2 linked regions of the Schizosaccharomyces pombe genome follow. The protein of the gene in region 1 interacts with the protein of each later gene in a pairwise test. Each region holds a gene or a part of one and is shown on either strand. Other genes may lie near its edges. The genes, in order: rpn1301 and rpn2.

Region 1 (4,009 bases):
TGCTCATCCTGCTCTATCTTACAACAAAGTTTATCTGCAACATTTATTTGCTACTATAGACGCATTCAAAGGATACGATAATGTACTAGGATTCTTCTCCGGCAACGAAGTAGTAAATGACGAAGACACTACCGCTATTACATGGGTTAAAGCGGTTACTAGAGATGTGAAGGCATACATTAAGAAACATAGTGATCGGCATATTCCAGTTGGTTATTCTGCTGCCGATGTAGCAGAAAACCGTTTACAGCTAGCTCATTATTTTAATTGTGGAGATGAGAGCGAACGAGCAGATTTTTATGCTTTCAATATGTATGAATGGTGTGGATACTCAAGTATGACTGTTTCAGGTTATTATGATCGCATCAAGGAATTTAGTAACTATTCAATTCCGCTATTCTTGTCAGAATTTGGTTGCAATACTGTTGAAATAAACGACGATACGACTCCTAACCGACCTTTTACGGAGATTGAAGCAATATATTCACACGATATGACCCCAGTTTTCTCTGGTGGTCTGGTCTACGAATATTCAGCCGAACCTAATCATTATGGATTAGTCGTTATTGACAAAGATGACGAGCGTAGAGTGTCGAGAAATTTTATAACGTTGATGAAGCAATATGCCAAAACTCCAAATCCAAAAGGGGATGGTGGTTATAAAAAGGCCGGATCGCCAAGTAAATGCCCTGCTAATTCTACTCAATTTAACGCATGGGAAAAATTACCTGAAATGCCGGAAGGTGCAAAAATTTACATGGAAAAAGGTGCTGGCGAACCTTTGGGAATTGAAGGTCCAACGAATATGTGGTCTCCTTTTCACGATGGTGACGATGATGAATCTACCTCTCGACGTCCCAAGCCAAAAAACAAACCATCTAATGTTACTAGTACAACTAGTTATACATCTGGCATGACTAGCTCCTCTGAAAGCGGTTCATCGAAAATTGGCGTTGCTTTTTGCCAAGCACTTTTTATTACTGTCCTTATCGCTACCCTCAGCTTCTAAAAAAAGAATTGTTGAAATTTAGAGCTTAGCTGAATGACTTGTTTCAGTAATTCAATTGAACTCTTCTAAAGCCGATTTGTTACAAGACAATGCTAACATTTCCAGTTACAATTTAGTATAATTAAATGAAATCATATTGTTTATCATTTACGGACGTTGAAAGGATTGCTAATGTAGTATTTGTCTGTTCAAGTAATTTTTGGTATTCCTAAAGAACCAACTTCATTATGATTCAGGGCTTAAAGGGTTATAGGAATTAACATATTTTTCCTTTAAATATCGTATTGACTAAGAATTCACCTAATATAAATAGCGAATTCAACGCTCAATTGCAATCGTAGGATCTGAAATATAACTACTTAATTGACAGCCAAAGATAATTCAGAATCTAAATATGCTGTATTTACGCTTTCTCACAAACGTAGTAAGGTATCATTTACATAACATTATTAAATATTTGATTATTTTATTTTATAAGTTATATTTATTTTTCCTCGAAGCTATCATACTACCCAAATTAAGCTATGTTTGTTTCAAGGATAGGATTTTTGCAGTGTAATCAAACGTTATTGTTAAACAACGCAACGAACTACAACGAAAGCTAGAGCTTCGTGGTTTCGACACAGTACATACAACCTGTCTTTTGCATTTCGCAGTTTAAGCAGTTTGCGATTGGGATAATGTCGTTGATAACTTTCAAAGCAGGAAAGCTTCGCAGAGTTCCAGGAACAAAGCTTTTACGTGCTGACCCAGAAAAAGGGTATGCTCGCATATTATGTATGATAGCTAACAAATCACAGTTATATAGTCATGAATCGGGACGCCTATGGATTAATTCATTTTCAATGGGCAAAAAGGAATGATCTTGAAAATCCCGAGGATGTAAGTATCACTTTCAATACCACCTGTAACACATTAAAAGTTCTAGTCGATACTAACCAAGTTTAGGATATAATTGTATTTTCTTCTGAGTGTACATTTGAAAAAGTTACGGAATGTACCACTGGGAGAGCTTACATGCTCAAATATCCTTCTAGCGCTCATAGCCTATTTTACTGGATGCAAGAAGCCTCAGACGATAACGATACTTCTTACGCTGAAAGAATTAACAGCTACATTAAGGATCAAGATTTATTAGATCCGGCCCGCTCTGATGTTGCAACGGTTTCTGATATGATGGAAGTGGATACTGTTGAGCAATCGGAACCTATTGCTCAACCAACTGAATCTTCAAAAGAGAGCTCCGAGATTGGAGCCCCGAACAGCGATGAAATTAATTCATCGGAAGCTGTGAGGAATCTATTGGCTACAATTTCTGCTCAGGCTGGATTTGGAGGTAGTACAGTCGATCTTTGCGAAATCCTCAAACCTTCGAATTTAACCGATCTTTTATGCCAAGAAGGTGTTATTGATCGACTCATGCCTTACATGCCTCCTGATACCCCAAATAATTTGGAGGGGGTTTTGGCTATTGTTAGTAGTCCTCAATATGCTCAAGCTTTGAGAAGCTTTTCTCAAGCTTTAAATTCTCCTGGTGGTGTAAACATTATTTCAGCACTTGGTCTCTCACTCGACGAATCTGCCAATCCTAATGAGGGAGGTGCTCTGCAATTTCTTAAAGCAATTGCTCGCTTCGTGAGCAGGAATAATGGTTCTGAGTAATGTCTTCGATTAAGTAATTCGTCGTATATCAAAAATTTCTATTTAAAATATTATCCGTTGAATCGTTTCTTTATAATTCACTGACGATTCGTATTAAAAGTTTTTAAATTGAGCATTACTGGCGTTCTTTTTTTTTTTTTTAAATAAATATGGAGGAATTAAAATGCTTTCATGGTAGGATTTGTCCTCTTACCAAAATGAGTAAGAGTAAGTTGGAGTACACAATACAATGTTGCTCGCTCAAAATGCTCTTTACAGAATGTTTATTGGTACAGTTTCATTTTTTCTCATATATGAAATATTTGTTTTAGGAAATAGGCAATCTTTATTTTTCTTGCATACAATGCTTATCTTTCCTAAACACTTAAGATTTATAAATGCAATGTATGTTCATGAATATGAACTGCGAGCGCCAAGGATGAATTACATTAGGACGACTAAAAATGAGAAGTTGCACTCCCGAAGTATCTCTACTTCATACTTCATTATTATTTATGCTTTATATTGATTATTGTTGTTTTACAAAATATGTTTTATTTCCAAAACAGTTGGTAAAATGTAGGATATGTAATGTCAAATACATAATACCAACATCTATTCTTAATAAGTTAGAAAGTTGAACAGTATTGAAATGATTTACTAAAGCTAGAAAGTAGCCAACTGTAAATGGTTAAAGTATTGACGTGTAGTCACATTCAATTTTTGCGCAATATCATTGAATTTCAAATCTAACGATTTTACTTTTGTAAACAGCCAAAAAAGTGGTCATAAAACGGTCAGGGAGGGACTCGAACCCTCGACCTCACGATTAACAGTCGTGCGCAATAACCAACTACGCTACCCGACCTCGGTGTCATCCGTTACATTTAGTAATATATATTGTTAAAAAAATAAAGCGTAGTAAATGTAATTGCTTTTTTGAGCTATGGCTTGTTACATTCTTTCTCTTGAGCAAATTTAGACTTGCTCATTACAATCATAATCGCTTTATAACGTCTATCTGCTTGTCTTCATTTGCATGAAAAAAAATCATATAAACAATGTATGCGGATAGTCAACTCAAACAAAATAGTAGTAATTAAATAGCAATAATAAAGAAGGAGCCTACAGCACCCCGGATTCCCATGTTGTCTCCAACCATAGTACTAACGAGGCCCTCAGACGCTTAACTGCAGTGATCGGACGGGAACTGGTGTTTTCGCCTAGGTATGGCCGTAGACAGCTGTTAAGTTTTAATAAAGTATATAAACGATAGTTATCACTCATTAGGAATTCGAATGTATGTTGGCTCCACTACGAATAAGATATGAATGTTAGCAATATAACCTGAAACTATAT
Region 2 (5,925 bases), 890 kb from region 1:
TGGCCTTTCTGTCGACGAAGCTTTGGTCTTTTGGAGGAAAAGTTTTACAAATGTAACAGAAGACAAATTTAACAAAGAATATCGCTACAATATTAGACATACTTATGGACTTGAAGGAAATAGGAAAAATTACAAGGGTTATAATTGCCAGCAGATCCTTACAGGGCCTCAACTTGGTCCTGGAGATGCCCACGGTTGTCCTTATCGTACATATTCAGTAAATAATCTAGTGTCAGCATTGGCTTCCATGGGAATAGCACCGGATTCTGCCGGATGCCGTGAAGTTGTTGAGGCAGTTAAAGCGAGGCATTATCATATTGCGTGTACGCGTGTTTTTGAGCTTACTCATCCAAATGTCGGTTCGCTGGAGGAGAGCATTCACCATCCCTTACAATATTTTCAACTTAGTTTAGAATCATAAGCTAAGATACTTTTAGTTCACGATTATCATAACACATTTCAATTTTTGTACAATAGGTATTGAACACTTTCAAAATACATTTCATAGCTATAATTCAAAAATCTAATTACCGGCAGGCTGGTTATATAGATGAATAAGCATTGTTACTAATAAAAGGCAATAATACCAAATCAACGTAAAAAACATGATATTTAATTTAAAAAACGTAATTGAAAACTTTTTAAATTTATCATCAAAATGAAATTGTCTAGCAATCTTCCGAACACTCAGTTCCGTAGAATAAATACGTTAACTTCAAACTACAAGTCTATTAACATATGAAAACGTTTGTATTTAATCTGAAGAGATGCAAGTAACAATCAAGATGTTCTTACAAACGTATATGGTTTTTTGAGACTAGCAGGATGTACTTCTGGGAATCTAATCATCATCATCAAATGGGTATTCAAAATCTTCAGGAGGAGAGGCCTCCTGTTCACCAGGCTCTGTATCTGCACTAGCAGGTACAGCGTCTCTATTCAGTTCAATTAAATCTGGAGCTTTATCAGACTCACGATCGATAAGCATAAGAACACCACCGGTAAATTTGCGAACCGGATAATAACGGCCATTAAGGTTAAATGAAATATATGGAAGCTGAGCAGGAACAACCCGCGTGAAGTTCTCTAAAGTTTCAGACTTAGGTTCTTCTTTTTTAGAGTTGCCGTTGATGCTTATATCCTGACTTTTTTCTTCATCCATTTCCATCGGAGTGGCCTCTTTCTCTTCAGTTGTCTTTTTGTCGATTTTCATTTCGTCATCATTTGAACCTTTACTGGCTTTTTCACGTTCAGCACGCTTGGCACGTGCTTGAGCTTTGACTGTAGTAGAGAGCACGGCAGTTTCAACTTTTTGGACCGTTTTAGCAGTGGGTTGTACGGACTTTGGAGGATAGGCAAACAGTTTAGGACGAACATTTGAAATAAAAGAAAATTTGGGTGCATTCAAGTTTTTATCCAGACCTATCAGCGCAGTAGGTGAGAAGGAAAGAGACATAAAATGCGTGAGTGGAAACCAGTACCAATATTGAAGAAAAACAGTTAATCCAACAATTGCAGACAATTTCAAACTACCAGTAGCTGTCTGAAGAGCAATAGTAACGTTACGACCGCCGGCATCAATAATACCTTGAGCCAATGTTGCGCCCAATTTAGCAAGCGCGTCTTCATGTTTTTCGTTGATGACTTGTTCAAAATGTTTTCGAATTCCAGAAACCTTACTATTCAATTGATCGTTGTGTTGAGTGAGAATCATTGCTTGAGCAATCATGGCACCTTGGCGAACAAAATCCGTTGCATCTTCAACAAGGCGGCTCAATAAATCTAGTGCAGCATTGGACCCCGAGTTTGCACAGGCAATTCCTAAAGCGATTGCACTACCATATCTAACATGAGGGTTATAACTATCAACGAGCAGCTCAACCGTTGAAATCAGAGCGTTAGGATCCTTGAAACAGATAAAACCTAAAGCACAAACTGCAGCACGACGAACATCATCATTGACATCACTAACTGAGATATGAAGTACGTCTCTAACTATTTTGCTATTGCTTGTACCACAATAAGCCAAAGCGGTAGCGAACATGCCTGCATAACGGAGAGTAGGGTCCAAATCATTATTCAGTTCTTTAATTATACCGTCAGCTTCTTGCTGACGTCCATAAACAATTAATGCAATACCGATGCCCAAACCTCGAATAATCTTCTCATGCTGCGTCTCATGTGCATACTGCAACATTTCATCAATGGCGGCAGAAGAAGCTGTACCAAGCATTATGAGACCCATGGATATACCAGCGGCAGACCCAGCCACGGCATTATCGTTAAAAAGGATAGTCTTAACAGATTCATAAAGGGTTTCGTCCCTACTAGCCATGCCCGTTAGGCCAATTCCAAGTAAGAGACCATACTGAACAATCTCATCTTCGGTATGTTTCAGTTGTTCGCGCAGATACTCAGTAACACCTCTTCCATGATTAGCATGAATCAACCCCATGGCATAGAAAGCACCACCTTCAGAATAAGTAGAGCTTGATGGCGCATCTTCTTCCGGCAGATAAGGACGAAGAATGTTCATAGCTTGATTATAATATCCTCGATGGATGACACCCAATGCAGCTGTTGCAGTAAATTTTGACCAGTTGTTGGCCTTGGATAACCAGGAAAGGTTGTCGCGGAAGAAACTATCCGAGGAAGTACCGAAGTTCATGAACGCATTGGCGAACGTAACTGCATTATGAAAAACCGAGTTCCTGGCTTCTAAAGAATCTTTCGTCCTGTTCAGAATAAGCATATCCGTATTGTTATGTGCATATAAAAATTCACGGTCATATTTAACGGTTTGTTCACCAGACAAAATTCGAATAATATAACCACAAGGAGAAGAATCCTCCTTTTTCGAATCAGCGTTAGCGTCCTCTTCGGAATTGGCCACAGAGGGAGAAGGAAGCAAATCCATCACACTATTTAAAAACTCTTGTGGAGCCGAATCTTCAAGATCAAAGGCTAATTGATACGCTGTCAATAAGCTTTTGTCATCGTTTTGAGAAGATAGTTTCATTAAAAGTTTGGCTGCAACAGAGGCATCGTTCAAATGAACAACGCATTTTCCAACTGAGAAATAATCAGGTTCTGTTTCTGTCAGAAAAGAACTTAGTAATAGACGAAGTAAGCGGTTTCGGAATTCAATGTCTAAAACAACAGTCATTGCAAGTTCCAGTACATAAGGCTTTAAATCTGTCTCTTTGTCTGCATTTAAAATGTATTCAATAATGTCAAGTCGATGAGCCTCGATAGCAATTCCCAAAACATGTCTCCATTCGTTTTTAGCATAACATTTTTGAAAAATGCCCTCGACTACGCCACTTAGTCTCTCGTCCAAGGGGTCAGCCTTTGGATTTTTGTACAACTCTGCACTTTTATGAATAAACATATCAATACATTTGAAAATTAGTGTTTCTTTGTAATCACTATTTTTGTCATGCAAAAACTTTGGACCACTTGACAAGGCAAACAAAAGAGCCTCATCATATTCTCCAAGGTAATAATAAACTTTTGAGACTACCAAGGCTGCTAATTCGCGTTCAGGAAATGAATGGTCCTCATACATAACCTCAATTTTCGTAACATCATCCGATATTTCCGGCCATAATTGATCAATAAACTCATAAATTTTTAGTAAAGCATGTACTTGTAATTCTCGCTCTTGCTCGTCCAGCAGGGCCATCAAACCACCTATCAAAAGGATTAGTGAACATGATTTCTACATTTTTTCATTGTTTAACGCTCGACGTACCTGCTGACGTTATAATAGAGGTGTTATCAGAGTACACCATAGTCATTTCGACGAAACTAGACCTGTTTATTTAAATCTTACAAACTATATAACAGCAGGTGGTGTTTCGTTGTTGGTAAATACCCTGAACCGTTGTGCTTCATTCCACCAACACATTCGGTAAGGGTAGGGCACTTGTACCAATAAATGTTTCAGGTATATTAAATGTAATGCTATATCATGTTATCCACACCACACCACCTAAATAATATTCAGTATTATCGAAAAAAGTCAAATTGTATGTTTCATCAACTATGTAAGATATCTCAACCCAATGAGGGATTTATATGAGTATCGTATCAAAATGAACGAACTAAGTAAAGCTATTCTGATCGTTCTATAATATGATTCTCATTGCCTTCTTATCATTCGCTTTTAGTATCGATAAATTTATAGTCTTTAGCTTAACAAAGTAGCTAATTTTTGTCGAATTTTTTTTTTAAAGCATTATAGTTGTTTGACTTCACAGTTATACTTTCATTAGTATTTTTTGATAGTATATATTACGCTGGGATCATTCGTTTAACTTGCAGTACGTATCAATGCCTAGTACAATATTACTTTACAAATACAATGTAATATAACAATTATCATGGTTCAGTAGCTTTGCAAATGAACTGTTTGATCAAGAAAATTTAATGTATTTCATAATTTTTCTCGAAGTCAATTCTATCAGTAATGAAATAACTAAGCCACATGGATGCGTCCAGAAATGATATCGAGGCCTTCCCATGCCACAATGTTTTTGGCTTTATTAAAACCACTGTTTTTTATTGCTGGCATGTTAATTGAATGGACATTTTTCGATGTCGTCAAACTGGAAGCAAACAGAAGCTAAAGTAACCCGAAATGTATTTTGTTAAAACATAACTATCTTAACTCTAAATAGATATAAAAAATTCTGTGTTTCACGCATACAATGATATTAATGTATATGTAATGATACCTTAACGGAAGCGCTGAGTACGGGATCAAAGGTCAATCAACAAAAAAGGGTGAAGCAATTGTACGCAGTCGCTTCTTTTAATTTACTAAAAAATTATTGAATAGGAAAAAAATTACAAATATAATAAAACAATTCTTCATTTTTGCGTTTTCGCTTTGCAGCCGGTATTCGCTGTTTGCTTTGTATTGAATATACATCATAAGTGGGGCGCTTACTTACTTTATCCCAATATCCACACTTCGCGCACAATGACAGATTTACGTAGAAATAGGTATTCAATATCTGCTGGCGTTGGAAAATCAGTACTTGATTCACTTGGCAAATTCTACGGATCGCCCAAAAGACAACTGCCTAACAAATTTGAAGCGGGAAAAGAATATACTGGATACAATGCACCGTGGATTCCATTTGCCTTGGATTGGTTAAAACAAGGAAAATATTCTAGTGAATGGATTGCTATGGGAAGTTTGAATGAAGAACCAAATAATATGGTATGCTAATTGCAAAACCAGGGGAAATATTATATAATTTTATCTGTGCTTCTTTTGGCATAGACTCCAAAGATGTACTCTGTTCTACGAAGTTACTAACCAAAAAATTGTTTAGATACAATTGTTAAAACTAATAACTGGGGATGATGGAAATTCTCACTTGGAAAAGGCGCAAGCAGCAACTGATCTTGAATACCCAGTTACGAAGTTGTTATGGAATCCTTCATCGGTTGGTTCTAACACCGACTCCCAGTTGCTAGCTTCTACGGATCAGCAATTGCGATTATGGAAAACCGATTTTGAAGCGGGGATTGATTCTCCTTTGTTATGTCAAGCCTCTTTATCTACCGTATGATTTTCTTTTTTCTTCTTGGCGACTAATGTTATAGCATGTAAAAACTCATAATAATGCTCCTCTAACTTCGTTTGATTGGTGCAAAACTGATCCTTCATATATCGTAGTGAGTAGCCTTGATACCACTTGCACAGTTTGGGACATTGTAGCCCAGCAATCAAAAACACAATTAATTGCTCACGACAAAGAAGTTTATGACGTTGCGTTTCTCAAGGACAGTATCAATGTTTTTGTTAGCGTAGGAGCTGATGGCAGCGTCCGCATGTTTGACTTGAGGTATGCGATCCACAATCGGCAATTGGATTTTTCCTTTTGACAGTAGTTTGTTAACTTTCTTTAG

Evidence for each region.
Region 2: the proteins of rpn1301 (region 1) and rpn2 interact in a two-hybrid assay, tested with the Schizosaccharomyces pombe proteins (one large-scale study listed by BioGRID).

The regions. Positions count from the first base shown.
Region 1 is NC_003423.3:4,206,609-4,210,617, forward strand, and holds rpn1301 (proteasome regulatory subunit rpn1301), read left to right. Parts: upstream 1-1,654; 5' UTR 1,655-1,689; coding exon 1,690-1,769; intron 1,770-1,809; coding exon 1,810-1,891; intron 1,892-1,957; coding exon 1,958-2,671; 3' UTR 2,672-3,293; downstream 3,294-4,009. Other genes in the region: 1,3-beta-glucanosyltransferase Gas4, read left to right, coding at 1-1,009. UniProt on the Schizosaccharomyces pombe protein: Component of the 26S proteasome, a multiprotein complex involved in the ATP-dependent degradation of ubiquitinated proteins.
Region 2 is NC_003423.3:3,319,042-3,324,966, forward strand, and holds rpn2 (proteasome regulatory subunit Rpn2), read right to left. Parts: upstream 3,872-5,925; 5' UTR 3,801-3,871; coding exon 3,755-3,800; intron 3,694-3,754; coding exon 842-3,693; 3' UTR 592-841; downstream 1-591. Other genes in the region: DNA primase large subunit Spp2, read left to right, coding at 1-421; dca7 (WD repeat-containing protein), read left to right, coding at 4,988-5,230, 5,346-5,579, 5,620-5,861. UniProt on the Schizosaccharomyces pombe protein: Acts as a regulatory subunit of the 26S proteasome which is involved in the ATP-dependent degradation of ubiquitinated proteins.